Oryctolagus cuniculus: one gene and its partner. The protein of the gene in region 1 purifies or fractionates together with the protein of each later gene. This does not show direct contact. Links are inferred from orthologs where the notes say so. Each region holds a gene or a part of one and is shown on either strand. Other genes may lie near its edges.

Region 1 (7,894 bases):
GCTTCCCCACACACGCCACTCCCGAACCACGCCACGGCCACGGCCACACCCCCTCGGACCTCTGCAGCCGGGCGGTCTGGGAGCAGGCGGGCAGCAGCTGGGGCGGCGGGCGCCCCACCCCCGGCTCCACGCTCGCCAGGGCGGGGCCTGCACAGCCGGCTCCACGCTCGCCAGGGCGGGGCCTGCACAGGTGCACAGGGGCTCCTCGCCGACCACCCCCGGCTCCACGCTAGCCAGGGCGGGGCTGCACAGGCGCACAGGGGCTCCTCGGCGACCACCCCCAGCTCCACGCTCGCCAGGGCAGGGCTGCACAGGCGCACAGGGGCTCCTCGGCGACCACCCCCGGCTCCACGCTAGCCAGGGCGGGGCTGCACAGGCCCACAGGGGCTCCACGCTAGCCAGGGCGGGACCTGCACAGGCGCACAGGGCCTCCTCGCCGACCACCCCCGGCTCCACGCTAGCCAGGGCGGGGCTGCACAGGGGCACAGGGGCTCCACGCTAGCCAGGGTGGGGCCTGCACAGGGGCTCCTCGGCGACCACCCCCGGCTCCACGCTAGCCAGGGCGGGGCTGCACAGGGGCACAGGGGCTCCACGCTAGCCAGGGTGGGGCCTGCACAGGGGCTCCTCGGCGACCACCCCCGGCTCCTCGCTAGCCAGGGCGGGGTCTGCACAGGGGCTCCTCGGCGACCACCCCCGGCTCCTCGCTAGCCAGGGCGGGGTCTGCACAGGGGCTCCTCGGCGACCACCCCCAGCTCCACGCTCGCCAGGGCGGGGCTACACAGGCCCACAGGGGCTCCTTGGCGACCACCCCCCCTCCACGCTCGCCAGGGCGGGGCTGCACAGGCGCACAGGGGCTCCTCGGGCCCCGGCTGGGTCCCTTCTGCAGGCATCGGGCGCAGAGGTGGCAGCGGGGCGGCACGGCGGTGCCCACTCACCTGCTGTACGGGGGGATCTCCAGGCCCAGCTCCTGCATGAGCAGCCCCATGACGTCATCACACCGCCCGTGCAGCTTCAGGGCCGCCCCGTCGTCCTTTGGGGTCCACTGTGGGCAGGAAGGGCAGTGAGGAAGTCGCCCCACTCCTCCCCAGGGGCCTCCATCCCGGACACGTGAGCCTGCTACATGTCTCTGACTCTTGCTGCTTTTTTTTAAGACATTTATTTTCATTTTTATTTGAAAGGCAGAGAGGGAGGAGCCGGAGAGATTCCATTTGCTGGTTCACTCTCCAAATGCCTACAGTCTGGCCAGGCTAACACCAGGATCCCAAAACACGGCCTGGAGGTGGCAGGGGCTCAAGCACGAGCCACCAGCTGCTGCGCGCCGGGGTGCCCGGGCAGGAAGCCGGGCCAGGCCCAGGGGCCGGTGTGCCACGCAGGCCCTGGAGCAGGCCCCGCCCTGAGCACCGGTTACCTGCAAGTTCACGATGTAGAGCTTGGGCCGCCGGCTAGGGGGCTTGGCCATGCACCAGAGCCGCGGGTACTTCTTCAGAACCTGCACACACGGACGACAGACAGGGCACGTGCGCGCGCCCGCGGCCGCAGCAGGGGCGTGGCCCCAGCCCGGGCTCCCGGGTCCTCGGCGCCTACCTTCAGGCTGGACCCCAAACACAGGATGGCGTCCGCTTTGCTGGCGGCCTCAGTGGCTGCCTCCCAGTTCAGGGGCTGCCCCAGGGTCCCCCGCTCCCCGAAGTGCACGATGGTGTCGCGGAGCTGGGTGCCGCACTTGTGGCAGGCCCGGCCGGTCTGGTGTCGGTGGAGGGCGGTGCGCTCCGTCACGTCAAACACGCGCACGTACTCCCTGTTGGGGACGCAGGAGGTGCAGACCTGGGGGGACGACAGGCTCCGGTGAGCGGGGGCGCCGGCCCGCCCGCCCGTCTGCCCGTCGGCCCGCCCGTCTGCCTGCCTGCCCGCCCGCCCGCCCGTCTGCCCGCCCACGCGCCTGCCTGTCTGCCTGCCCGCCTGCCCGCCCGCCCGTCTGCCCGCCCGCCCGTCCGCCTGCCCGCCCGCCCGTCTGCCCGTCTGCCTGCCCGCCCGCGCGCCCGCCCGCCCGCCCGCGCGCCCGCCCGTCTGCCCGCCCGCCCGCGCGCGCGCCCGCTCACCTCGATGTACATGTTCCCGTGCAGCTCCGAGATGGCCGAGCGCGGCAGCCCGCTCCGCAGGTGGAGCCCGTCGCAGTTCTGCGACACCACGTGCTGCACCTGCAGGGGAGCCCCTCTGAGCCCAGCGACAGCCCCGACCCCACAGGAAACCTCGGAGAGCCAAGCTCTCGGCAGGCCCAGCCCGCAGAGTGCCGGGCCTGGAGCACCCGGAGGGCGAGCGTGCGTCTGCGCCCTTCCGGTGAGGCTGCAGCTCGGGCTCCCACGGGGCAGACGTGGCCACGCCAGATCCACGCTCGGCTCCAGGGCCTGGGCAGAGGGCGACCCTCCCCTCCTCGCTGGCTCCCCGTGCCCGGGAGGCCCTCGGGGGCCCTGGGGTGAAGCGAGGGGGGGGGGGCGGTGAGCAACCCTGGGCCAAGATGCCCTGGACGGGACGGCTCCCAGGAGGGGCTGCTGTTCTGTCTGGGGGGCCGCCGTGTACTCCTCCCACAGAGAGGGTGCAGCCGCTCCCCTGCGCCCGGGCCTGCCAGCCCCGTCCGGCTCTTACCAGCTTCTGCTTGTGCAGTCGGGCGATGCTCATGTGAGTAAGGGTGGGCTCGGCCTCACTCAGGTCGGCAGCGCTGCCGGCGGAAGGGAGAGTGGGGTGAGGACCTGCAGGCCGGGGGCTCGCCTGGGAAAGTGGGGTGAGGACCTGCAGGCCGGGGCTCGCCTGGGAAAGTGGGGTGAGGACCTGCAGGCCGGGGCTCGCCTGGGAAAGTGGGGTGAGGACCTGCAGGCCGGCGAGCCGAGCCCCTACCTGACGCGCCGTCCCTTCTGGAGCAGCGTCCACACGCCGTTGGGGCCCCGGTAGTCTGGGATGCAGGCTGCCTGTGCGCTCGGAAAAAGATAAGCCCAGTGGGCCGGCGGCACTGCCGGGAGGCAGAAACCCTGCAGGGGGGCGCCAGGCTGCCCACCGGCCGGGGCCCGGGCAGCTGCACCCCGGTGCGGCTTCCCTCCTCACTATCCTCCCAGGCCCCCGCGCCCCGAGAGCCGCCACAGCACGGCGCAAGGACCCGTGTGTCTCGGGCACGGAGGGAGGACTGCACAGGGCTCTGAACGGCCCCTTCCCCACCTGAACAATGACGGACGACCTGTGCACCCCCCCACGTCGCCCCTTCCAGCAAAGGACACAGAAGACTGCCAGGCCCCCCCTGCACGAGCCCCACCTCCCCAGGCAGCCCGAGCTCCGAGAAGTGCCCGCCGGCGCCAGGGGCCCGACACTGAGGTCACAGCGCCAGCCAGGCCACGGGGCCGCGGCTCGAGAACCGCCGGGCTGGGCTGTCCCACTCGCGGTGGAGACGGGAGGCTCAGCAGGAAGCGCTCAGTACCCTGGGCCCTGGCCCGTTGGTACCCGCAGTGCCTCCCCCTCCCCCTGCGGGCCGCCCCCGTCCAGCAAAGCTCCCCCTGCCCCAGCCCCGCCGTCGGCGGCCCCACGCCCTTCGCCTCCCGCTGCGGAACCGGCGCGGCGCGGCTCAGCTCTGCCCGCACACCCGGCAGCGCGGAGGCCGAGTCGCGCCGTCCAGCGCGGTCAGTGTCCCAGGAGGGGGCGCCCCACGCCCGCCCCGCGGCGCTCCGGGCCAGCGCGGCCCGGGCGAGTGTGGCTCTGGGCCGCGCGCGCCTCCCTACCGTGCTGATCCCCGCGCCCGTGTAGACGACCAAGTGCTTGGAGTTGCGCACGGCGGCGGCCAGCTCCCGCACCTTCCTCCGCAGCTCGTCCGGGTCATCACACACCTGCGGACACCGACCGCTCAGCCCGCGCCTGCCGCCCGGCCCCGCCGCGCGGCCCCGCACTTGCCTCCTGCTGCCGCCGCTTCAGCCCCTCCCGCCGCCGGCGCCGGCCCTGCAGCTCGGTCACCAGGTCCTCGCTCTCGGCCAGCAGCCGGCTCTCCTCGGCGCTGCGCTCGGCCGCCGCCTTCCGCAGGATGCGGGACACCTGCGGGCGGGCGGGCGGTGAGAGGCGGCCCGCGCGCCACGGACACGGACGCGGGGCGCGGCGCGGGCGGGCGGGCTACCTGGCGGAGGCGCTCCCGCTGCTGCTCCTCCCGCAGCCTCCGCACCCGCTCCGCCGCCTTGCGCTCCGAGCGGCCCAGACCCCCGGCTGCCATCGCTCCCCGCGGAGACCGGCGCTTCCGGCTTCCGCTTCCGCCTCGCCGGCGGCCGCCCGGGGCGCATGCGCGCGCGCCCCGCCCCGCCCTTCCTGCCCCGCCCGCCGCCCCGCCCCCAAGGAAGCACCTGCCAATCTCTTTTTAAAAGGTGTTTATTGATCATATACAAAATAAAGAAAACCTTATATATCACAAACATACACTATGTACAGCAATAAATACCGGCGGCCAGGCCCAGGGCCGCCCCTCCTGGACAATAACTTAGCAATAAATACGGCGCGGGGCCCCGGGGACAGGTCCCTCCCACGCACGCCCCACACCCACTGCGGGTCGCCTGGGCACCTCCCTTCCCTAGCTCTGCATCAGCCCCCCACCCGCCCTGCGGACCCCAGGGCACCCCACGGTCACCTCTGCAGGCTTCGGCCCTAAGCAGGGGGCCACCACCAACCGCACAGCCCCCGCACAGCCCGCACGCGCAGGCAGCCCTTGTCCTGCTGCCCGGGGTCGGGTCACCGGGAGAAGGCTGTCCGCAGCGACTGCGTTTGGTTAAAGGCTTCAGGGACTCGCGAACTGAACGGGAGGGAGGAGGGGCGGGCAGGGGCTGGGGCTGAGGGGAGGGGCCGCGCTCTGCCATTCCAGCTCAGACGCGCAGGGCCACCCCGGCTCTCAGAGCCAGAGCTTCGCGGCGGGCGTGCAGCGGGAAGCCTGCAGCCGGCCCAGCAGGTGCCACGCGCACAGCCCAGAGGCAGGAGGGGCCCCGAGCCCCACACACACACGCCTGCCTGCGTGGCACCGACGACACAGCCTCTGCTCTCCCACCTGCCCCAAGACCAGACAGCCAGCAGGAAGCCGAACCCGTGCCAGGAGGAGTCACTCAGTGGCTTCTGGGGGGGGAAAATCGTTAATGTGTTGGTTCCTTTCACCAAACCACAGCCTAAAAAATAACTCACAGGATCCCAGAGCGGAAGTGTGCAGCGGGCTGCCCGGGCTGCCCCGCTGTGGACGGGAGCTCTGGCCAAGCCGCCGCTCGAGAGAGGCGGCGGCAGGCACAGGGCCTGACCACCAGCCCAGAGCGGTGGCCCCCGACGCCGACCACGGAGGCCAGGGGTGCGCGCACAGACCCACTGAAGCCAGCAGGGAGCCCGGGCCACGCTGCGTGGGGACGTCTGCGTGTCCGTCCGGGATCAGGAGGGGCCGGGGCGGCGTCAGGCAGGAGGGGAGGCGCAGGTTTGGGTTCACTTGGCGGACAGGTTCGGGAGGCCCGGCCTCAGCCGCAGCCCTCCATCCGCCGTGTCGGGGGGGGGGGGGTGAGAAGAGAGAACACAACACCCTCACGGTGGGAGACAGACCCAGCACGACCCGAAGGACACACAGAGCCACGCGTGGACACAGAATCTACTGCGGAGAAATCAGGGTGAGGGGAGAGGGGCTCGAGTGAGGGGACGGGAACCCCAGCGCATGGCCTCGCCAACCCCAGAAGCCCTGGGGGCCGGATCAAGGCCCCGCGAGCTCACCCTGCCCTGCTCCTCTTCCTCACTCACCCCCCCTCCCGGGGACACCAGGGGCCAGGCCCTGCTCCTCCAAGGCTCAGGATTTCAGCTCAGGGATGCCACGCCCACACCACACCCATGTCTGGACTCCAGCCAGACAGAAGCAGACCCAGGCTCGGGACGCCCAGGGACACCGTGGCAGCCAGCGCTCCCCCGCTCCGCAGGTCACCTCGGGTCTACGCAGGGGGGCCTCCAAGCCCCTGGAGCCAACACACAGGAGCCTGTCGGGACCCAGGGGTGGCCGGCACGGGTGGCGCCTCTGCCTGCCAGGTGAAGCCTGAACGGTCAGCTTTTCATCTCCTGTGCCTCCCAGGGGTCCAGGCTGCCCCGAGACGATATCGGCGGCCCTGGCCAGAGGCCCACGTGGCCAGACGGGGCTGCGGCCTCTTCAGGTGGCACTCTGGGCACCCCCGCGCCCATGGGAGCTTCCTGAACCAGGCCTGGGAGGCCAGCAGCCTCGACTGAAAGCTGGAATGGGCAGAAGCACCTGTGAGAGTCCAGCCGTGACCCCTGGAAGACACAGACCCTGGAGGGAGGTGGGAGGAGGGGCCGTGGCCCCGAGCTGCCGGCACAGACAGGTGGAGAACAGGGACAGGACCCGGCCCCGAGCTCACAGCCCTTGTCTGGCCCTGGTGGCGATGCCCAGGCCCTAGGGGTGCTCCAGGTGGGGCCCACCCATGCCACCTGGAAGCAGCGCCCGCTGCGCACAGTCCAGGAGAGGTGGTGGGCGGGCCCCCCAGGGAGGCCAGGAACAGGGCCAGGGCTGGAGCCCAGGCGGAAGACAGCCAGGGGCACCCACGGTGACTCCCTGGTCCCAGCAATGCCGCCACCCAGGGCCAGAGGTGTGGAAGCAACACGGTGGGGGAGACCCCTCCCCCCAGCTCACGAGCGAAGAGGCCAGGCTGGCGGCCCCGGCGCGGCCCAGGTCCGGCACGCAGCAGAAGCAGGAACACAACCAAATCCAAAAAACGCACACGGAGAACGCACAGGACTCACAGGTCAAAGGTCACCAGGAGCACCAGCACTTGACGGCGGCACAAAACCTCACCAGGCACGGACGACACCACGGCACCGGCAAGAGACGGGAGCGGGAGGGCGAAGGCTAAGTCACTTTCGGTACAATTGCAAAAGATACCAAAGAGCTGGCCCGGCGGCGGCGCTGCGGCCTTTTTTTTTTTTTTGTCTTTTTTTAAACTAAGTTTTATAAATAATGTCTGATAACTCTGTGTATATAAAAACTAAACTCCAACAGCCACAAAGAGTTGTCCATAAGTTTACAAGAAAGGGATTTTTTTTTTTTTTTTTTTTTTAAACTAGCAAAGTTTCTGTTATACTTTCTTCCTTTTCCATTTATATGGTCAAATGTTCTGACTTTTTTAAAAGACAGTTTTATAAATACTCTGCAGCTCTTGTTTTTCTTTAACTTTTAAACATATAATTTAATAACTTCGTAAAAGGAACTTCTCTCTTTTAAATAAAGGGCTATCTAACCACACAAACAGCTCATGTAAACAGTGACACGGACCCAAGGCAGGACACAGGGACACGCCCTCCACACACGCGCACACCACTGGTTTGGTCTTGCTCAGTGCAGGGGTCAGTGCCCGGGCCGGCAGCCCACCACTGCCCGGGCAGAGCCCACCTCCGCCTGCCGGGCCCCGCTGAGCTGCCCGCGTGGGCCTGCGGAGAGGAGGGCCCCCAGCACCCTTCTGGTTGGCAGCCTGCGGGCCCTGAGAAGGGAGGGCAGACAGGAGCCCTGCCCACCCAGGGACGCCCGCGCTGCCTCCCTCCCACACCCGTCCACTCCCGCAGGGCCAGCTCTGGACTCCAGGCCCGTGCGACCTCGGCACAGAGGGGGCTGGGGGCGCCAAGCTGACCAATCGCAACGCACAGAACATAGACGACACGAGATCAAGGGGCCCAGCCCGGCGCCCCTGGGGTGCGGGTTGTGCTTTGCAGGGGGGGGAGGGAGGGGAGAGGGACAGGGCAGGGCTGCCGCCGCCACGCGTGCCCGGTGGCCCCTGGAAGACCCGCTGGGCAAGGGCGCGCGTCCCTACGACCGGGCGTCCGTCTTCGACTTCACTATCGTGATGACGCTGGTGGCGGC
Region 2 (7,229 bases), about 18 Mb from region 1:
TGGGAGCCAAGCACAGGCTGGCCCCAGCTCGAGAGAGGCAGAGGCGGGCTGGCTGGAGTTGTTCTGACCACGTGCTCCAGGGCGAGTTCCTTAAGCCATCAGAGCCTTGGCTCCCTGGCTGCCGGGTGCCCGCCTCTCCCCCTCCGGAGGCCCCCGGGCCCTCACCTTGACCCAGAGGTCCAGGTGCACCTTGTACTGCTTCTGCTGCTCCTCGGCCAGCTTCTTGTAGTGCTCCTTCTGGCTCTGCGAGATGCGCTGCCAGCGGCTGCCAATCTCCACCATGCGCTCTTTCAGTGGCAGGTGGTTCAGCTCGCCGTTGGACAGCAGCTCCTGGGAGAACTTCTGGTAACCGTTCCTGGGGGCGACGGGCAGGGCAGGCAGGGTCAGGACCCCCGCAGGGCAGCCCCCTCCCCAGCCCCAGGTGGGTGGCGGCCGCGGGGCGCTCACATGGGCGGCTTCTTGGGTTCCCCCTGGAACTTCATCTTCTTGGAAGAGTTGGCGGCAGCCGGAGGCGCCCTCATCTCACTCAGCTCCCTCTGTGCAGAAAACCATGAGGGTCACATCAGCCCCACCCCATGCCCGCAGCCCCCTCATCAGGCTCTCCTATGTGCTAGGCAAGGGGGGGAAACTGAGGCAAAGTTGGAGAGCAGCTTCCTAGTAACACACAGTTGGGACAGGTGTCAGTGCTTTCAGAGTTGCTTTGGTATCCCCACGAGCCACCTGGGGGGGTCGCGCCCCCCCCCAGTTTAACTGAGACAGAAGAGGTTTGCTCAGGCTCAAACAAGCCATGCTAGGATTCCAGGCTCCAGAGGCCCACGAGCAAGGACTACCCCGAGGGAGGTCCCCTGGCCTCCAAGGCAGGAGGTGGTCCCATCCCGCCCTCCCACTCCCACCTCATAGCGCTTTTGGTCTTCGGCCGCCTTCTTAATCCACATCAGCTTTTCCTTCTTCTCCATGTTGTTCCAGGTCATCTCCATGGCTTTCAAGGCCTTCACCCGGTCGTTCTGGGGGCAGACGGGGCGATGAGCTGTGCAAGGGGTCCCCAAGGGCCCGAGGCTGCCCTGCGAGCCCTGCCCCACTGCCCTGCCACCTTGAAGCGGGCCAGGTAGTCGCCGATGACGCTCTGCTGCCAGATCTCCTCGGCTCTCTTGGGCGACTCGGGCAGCTTGCCCCGCTCCTCGCGCTCGGCCCCGGGCTTCCTCTCCGACTGCGCCTTCAGCGCCGCCTCGCGCGCCTTGTACTTGGCCTGCAGCAGGGGAACCGCACAGGCGTCAGCTTCCCCGCCGCCCGCAGGGGGCGCGCGACGCCCAGTCCCGCAGCAGGAGGGCGGGGCCCGCGGCCGCGTGGGCGGGAGCAGCTGTCTCCCGCCTGGGGCTCAGCCTCCGCCCACGGGCCTGCTCCCCGGGGAGCCTCAGCCCTCAGCTGACAGCTTCCCGCCTTCCGGCTCGGCTCGCGGGGCTCCCAGCCCCGCCAGCTGAGCGCGGGCGCACGTGCGGGCCGCACGGGGCGAGGGGAGGCGCAGCGCTGGGCTCCCGGGCGAGCCTGACCTTCTTCTTCTCGGACAGGTCGTTCCACATGCGAGCCAGCAGGCGGGTCAGCTCGCTCTCCGAGAGCTCGGGCCGCTCCTCTTGCAGCTGCCGCCGCTTCTCCTCGGAGAAGATGAACATGGCCGACACGGGCCGCTTGGGCTTCTCCGAGCCCCCCTGTGCAAGTGCAGAGAGGGTCGGGGTCCACGGGGTGCCGACGGGGGAGCCCTGCCCCAGCCCCGACACCTGCCTGCCCGCCGAGGGGAGCCGGGGGAGCCTGCCCACCTTGCCTCCTTCCTGGGAGGGCTTCTTGGAGGCCGGGCTGGTGGCTTGCTTCTTGTTGATGTTCAGCATCTTCTCCTCGCCCAGGACCCGCTGCTGCTCCTCCTCGGGCAGGCTCTGGCACGGAGTGGGGAGGGCAGGGGTGAGGGCTCGGGCTCCCCAGGGCAGCCTCTGCCCAGCGCCCCGACCTCAGCCCGACGCTCACCTCGAGGAAACGCAGCAGCTCCACCTCGTAGTCTTTCTTTTTCTGGGAAGGTAAGGGGAACCGCGGTCAGCCTTGGGCAGCCTCGCCGGAGAGCCCGCAGGCCCCAGGGGCTGCGGCACGCGCGCGGCTCACCTGGTCGCACTTCTTGTGGTAGGCGTCCTTCTCCTTCTGCGACAGCAGCTTCCACTGCTGGCTGCACAGCACCATGCGCTCCGTGCTGGGCACGTCCTTCATGCTGGCCATGAGCTCTGCGCAGTACAGCGAGTAGCTGTTCCTGTGGGGATCGCGGGAGGCGAGGCGGCACCCCGTGAGCCACCTACGTGCCCGCCACAGGGCCTGGCCCCCGCCTGCCTGCCCGCCCGCCCGCCGCCCGGGAGCAGCGCTCACGGAGGTGGCTTGGTGGGTCGCCCGTCAAACTTGTCCTTGAGCTGGCGTTCAGCCTTGGTGAGGGTGGACTTGGTGATACCCTCCTCACTGATGTTCAGCTCGGGGTGCTTCTGGATATAGTCCCGCATAATCTCCTGCAGAGCGTGTGGGGGGGGGACGGAGGGCAACGGGGGGGCGGGGTTAGCCGGGGCAGGGGGTGGGGGAGAGCCGCTGGGGAGGGCAGGCAGGGAGCGAAGCTGGGGTGGCCGTGCGTCTGCCGCATCCCGTCTCCCGTCGAGGAGGCCTGGTGCCCTGCCCTGCCCTAGCCTGAGACCTCATGGGGCTGGGGGTGGGGTGGGGAGGTCGGGGCAGAGGCGAGGGGCCCAGAAGGCCCCTCCCTCGACGGAGGGGTGGGGAGCGACTGCCCCCCCGCAGAGTGCGGTGGCCACAGAGTGAGTGAGTCGGGGACAGAGAGGCTCGTGAAGAGCCGGACGGGGCGGAGCGCAGCGGAAGCCTAACCTCGTACTCCTTCCGCTGCTCCAGGGCCTTATGAATCCATTTCAGCCTCTTTTTGTCCGAGAGCTGAGACCACTGCTTCCCCAGGGAGTCCTTCACCTCCTTCGTAGTGGCCTGCAAACCAAAAGCCGTCAGACACACGCAGGCAGCCGGGGTGGGGGGGGGAGGGGGGCGCAGAGGCCCCCGCCCCCTCAGGCCACAGGAGGTCACGTCAGTGTCCCCCACAGGCCAGGAGGGGAAGGCGGGGAGGCGGGGATTCCGCCTGGGTGCGAGGGGACAGGCGCACACGCACACGCACACGCACGCTCGCACACCAGCTGGCCCCGGGCCCTGTCCATGCAGCCCACCCCTGGGGAGGGGCCTCCTCTCCTGCTCCCCTGCACCGTGCCCGGCCAACCTGGCGCGGCTCCCCCGGGCCTAGGCTGCGCGCGCCCACCTCCCCGGCTCCTCCTCGGCTGCCACTCACATCTGGCCGCACTTTGAGATACACTTTCTTCTCGTGGGTGTACCACAGCTGCTGGGGGGTTTTGGGCTTCTCGGGGATGTCCGACTTCTTGGCATTCTGGATGAGATCAGGGTGGTCCTCCCTAGCCAGGGCGCGGGAGCGAGGGTCAGCGGAGGACACTGCCAGGGCAGATGGGAGCTAACTGTCCCGCCGCCCGACCCCCCGGGGCCTCCCAGCTACAACATAGCGGGCCACGGCTGCCTGCCTGTCCCTGCCTGCAGCAGGATGCTAGGGTCTCCGTGGGACCCTCAGGAACCGCCAGCTTGAGGCTCCGGCCGGCGCTAGTCTGTCTTGCCGCATCCGGTGCCCCACGGCCCTCCTCCGGGCTCCACTGCCTTACCTGAACCGGGCCAGGTTTCGCTCGAACTCCTGTTTCTCTCTCTGGAAGTCCTGAATATACTTCATCTGGGGGGAGGAGGGATGGGGTCATCCAGGACCCAAGGCCTGTGTCACCCTGAGCTTTACAAAAGCCCCCCAAGCCCAGCTTGCCAGCTCCTGCGCCCCCAGTGTGTGCTGTGGAGGACGGGAGGGAGGCCCGCGACTTCCCGTGAGCCGCGAGCACCTCACACTACACCCGTGGGCTTAGAGCCACAGACATGGGCGCTATGGGGCTCTCCCACACACCAGCTCCACGGCCTGGTCACACTGCCAGAGGCGGGACGTGGCTCTATGTGGCCGCACGACAGGCCTGGCACAGCTGGGGCTACCCCAGCGCCTTCCTGACACCACAGGACCCGCACCACACAGGGGCAGGTGGCTTCGCTCCTGTTACTCCCTTGTCTTGCCGTCTGCGGCAGCTGAGTTCTGCTTCCAAACCCTGGGGGGGGGGGGCTGGGGGATCCCCCCCAGAGTGAATTCCTGCAATGCAAATCACATCCTCCCCTGTGTGCCCCCTGAATCCAGCATGTCCCCCCCAGCCCACTCCTGGGGGGGCAGCTGCCTTCACATCACATTCCTTCCCATATGGGACATCTTCCGATCCTTGTCAGCCATCACCTTCCTTGCCTCCCATGCCTTCCTCCAGGCTCCTGGCTGGCCGGCTGGGGTCCCCCTGCCCCTGCCTTCTCTTCTGTTCTTCTATCAGCTCGCGCCCCTCCCAGTCACCTGACTCCCTCTTTGCCTTCCTCACCCACCTTTCCTGTCCTGGCTCCCAGGCACCGTCTCTCCCTTTCACAACAGCAGCACTGCAGGCGCCAGGAGCAGAACCCGGACGTCTCTGCCCCAGCTCCGTCCTCCTCAGGCAAAAAGCCCGTCTGGAGCTGTTGGGAACTGCTCTGATCCGGTTCCCCCTCCCAGAGAAGTGACGTACCCAAGGCCCCACACCCAGCCAATGGGTGGTAGAGGCACGAGACCAGGCCCCAGACTGTCTCCGTTTCTTCTGTCCAATGCCTCCCCCCACCCCCAGCCCCACTGCTCAGCTCATTTGCCCGTCGGCCTGTCCCTCCCATGCTGAGTGGGGGCTGTGCACAGTCCGCTGCCCAGCGTCCTCAGCAGGGGCTCAGTGACAGCTCCAGCAAAGCGTCCTCCCACTCGGCTGGGGCAGAATGGCTTTACCCAACCAAGCTGGCTCCTCTCGGTTCAACACCAAGGGCATGGGAGTCCGCAGCCAGGGTATACGAACCAGAAAAAAGGGTGGTGGCTGGTGCCACCATCTTGAGCTGGCTTGTGCCTACGTCATCTCCCAGCAAATGTGCCTCTTGTCTCCCGCCCCCGCCCTTCACCCAGTTCTCTGCCTGTGCCGTCTAGACCCCTGCCATCGCCGCCCCCCCCCCCATCTCATGTCCAGTCTGCGGCGCTCCTCCAATGCTTTGCTACCTGTCTCTGCAACGGACCCCCTGAGCTCTGGGCTCGTGTCCATCCTCGCTTAGGAGGCCTGGGTCAAAGTTAATTTCCTCTGATGGTCTGGGGCATCACCTCATCTCCGCAGGGAGCAGCACGAGGTATCCTTGGGTGAACACATGTGCGTGGGGAAGGCATCCATCTAACATGTGGAGCCCGGGACTCCAAGTCTGTGACCTGAGGCCCTTCACCCTCCTGGCCCTCAGCTCCTGGAGCGCCAAATCCCAACAATCTCTCTGCCTGTCAGGCAATCATCAAAGGAGCCCACAGAGTGAAATTTCACGGGGGTGAGGAACTGCTAGGCAGGCCCAACAGCGAGGGCACACATTTGGGAGGAGAGCTGGAGAAAGCAGAAGGCCGCCGACTGTCTAGGCCCTGCCTCAACCTGGCTTCCGTCTGTGACAGTGCCTTGTGCCTGATCGTGTGTGGGCCTGGCCACCGGAGAGCCAAGACCCTACTTGGCTGTACCAAGGCACCCGCATCCCTCTGCCGGTGGCCTACCGCGCCCCCACCTGACCCCCACACACCATATCAGCCGCTCCCAGCCTTTCCCCTCCCCAGACCTGAGCCCCCCTCCCCCCACCTTCTTCTTCTCCGGGAGCTCCTTGTATTTCTTGGACAGAATCTTGGTCAGGTCCAGGTTGCTCATCTCAGGATGGAGTTTTGCATACTTGGCCCGCTTCTCCATGAAGAAGCGGAAGTAAGGGGTGAGGGGCTTCTTTGGGAAGTCTGGGTGTTTCTGGAGGAAACAGGGACACAGGCACAAGGCAGGTTAGATGCCACCCGTTCTGTGGACCTGTCCTCCCCTCCCCTCGGCCCCTCCCCCTAAGCACTCACCTTGAGTTTTTTGCCCTTGTAAGGGTTTTTAACATGTTCCTGAGCGTCAAGGATCAATTCTGTCAATGTACGGAACTTTCTCACCTGGAAGACAGAGGGAGCTGGGTGGAAGGAGAAGCTGGCAAGAGGGAAAGCCCACCCAGGAGTGCCCCCACCCCCTCTGCTCTCCACTGGACTGAACTGATCAGCAGAGCAGAGCCCCACGCCGGCTGCAGGGGCCCAGGCAGTCAGCACACGCCGGGGACCTCAGTGTCGCTATCCACTCAATCCCAGACAACGAGAACTCCAGGATGGACAGCATTTAAGGCACCCAGAGAGAAGGCAGAACTGCGAACTCCAGGCCAGTGCTGTCAACCGGCCCCATCCAAAAGGCACAAGGGCAGGCAGCGAGCTACCAGCAAGCACAGGAACTCCACTCCCGGTCCTGTTCCTTCCTGTTTATAGACCTCTGCCACCAGCAAGTGCACATGTGTGTGCGCACGCCCATGCTGGGGGTGGGGGCGGGGGTGCCGGTTACCTCATTAGAAATCTCCACCCATTTGAGCTTGCACATGTCTCCAGAAAAGTCTTTGAATGCTACTTTTTCCCAGTCCATGTGCGACTCGGTGGTTTTGAACTTGGAGCTATCATTGGATGGAAGGTTGTTCTTCATGCATTCCAGCAAAGTGAGCATGTCTTCCTGGGACCAGCGGTCTGGTGAGGAGCAGGAGAGAAGACATCACACCCAGCTCATGCACCCTCTCATTCTGCTCCCCAGTCCTTAAGCAGGCTTCCCCAGAGCAGCCCAGCCCTTGGTTTTCCCCCTAGATACAGGCCCATGGCCCATGGCTAAGCCCTGTGAAACCCGCAGCCACACTGGAGGAGGGCAGGGACTCAGTCCACCTTCCCAGGCTACCGTCATTCCCTAACGGGCCAGGCTGCCACTGTGGGGCAGGAGGGTTGTAAATGGAGCTCCTGCAGTTTGGGGCCCTGTGGGAAAGCACTGAGCTTATCAGAGGGAGAGAACTACTGTGGCATGCTGGGTAAAGATGCCACCTGCAATGCCATATGGGTGTCAGTTCGATTCCTGGCTGCTCCACTTCCGAGTCAGCTCCCTGCTAATGGCCTGGGAAAACCAGAGGAAGATGGCCCAAGTGTTTGGGCCCCAGCCACC

What was found.
Region 2: the proteins of SIRT7 (region 1) and UBTF purify together in Homo sapiens (affinity purification with western blotting; 3 studies listed by BioGRID, with this or other methods). This does not show direct contact. The link is inferred for Oryctolagus cuniculus from reciprocal best matches to the Homo sapiens genes SIRT7 and UBTF.

Annotation. Positions count from the first base shown.
Region 1 is NC_091448.1:1,003,666-1,011,559, reverse strand, and holds the start of SIRT7 (NAD-dependent protein deacetylase sirtuin-7), read right to left. Parts: upstream 4,303-7,894; 5' UTR 4,238-4,302; coding exon 4,145-4,237; intron 4,066-4,144; coding exon 3,928-4,065; intron 3,864-3,927; coding exon 3,759-3,863; intron 2,961-3,758; coding exon 2,890-2,960; intron 2,714-2,889; coding exon 2,641-2,713; intron 2,196-2,640; coding exon 2,097-2,195; intron 1,822-2,096; coding exon 1,585-1,821; intron 1,490-1,584; coding exon 1,409-1,489; intron 1,043-1,408; coding exon 936-1,042; intron 1-935. Other genes in the region: transcription factor MafG, read right to left, coding at 7,841-7,894. UniProt on the Homo sapiens protein: NAD-dependent protein-lysine deacylase that can act both as a deacetylase or deacylase (desuccinylase, depropionylase, deglutarylase and dedecanoylase), depending on the context. Specifically mediates deacetylation of histone H3 at 'Lys-18' (H3K18Ac).
Region 2 is NC_091448.1:19,044,983-19,052,211, reverse strand, and holds part of UBTF (nucleolar transcription factor 1), read right to left. Parts: intron 6,770-7,229; coding exon 6,594-6,769; intron 6,161-6,593; coding exon 6,077-6,160; intron 5,979-6,076; coding exon 5,823-5,978; intron 3,806-5,822; coding exon 3,741-3,805; intron 3,483-3,740; coding exon 3,362-3,482; intron 3,010-3,361; coding exon 2,899-3,009; intron 2,535-2,898; coding exon 2,401-2,534; intron 2,288-2,400; coding exon 2,146-2,287; intron 2,056-2,145; coding exon 2,014-2,055; intron 1,926-2,013; coding exon 1,812-1,925; intron 1,704-1,811; coding exon 1,548-1,703; intron 1,247-1,547; coding exon 1,091-1,246; intron 1,005-1,090; coding exon 894-1,004; intron 537-893; coding exon 448-536; intron 356-447; coding exon 166-355; intron 1-165. UniProt on the Homo sapiens protein: Recognizes the ribosomal RNA gene promoter and activates transcription mediated by RNA polymerase I (Pol I) through cooperative interactions with the transcription factor SL1/TIF-IB complex.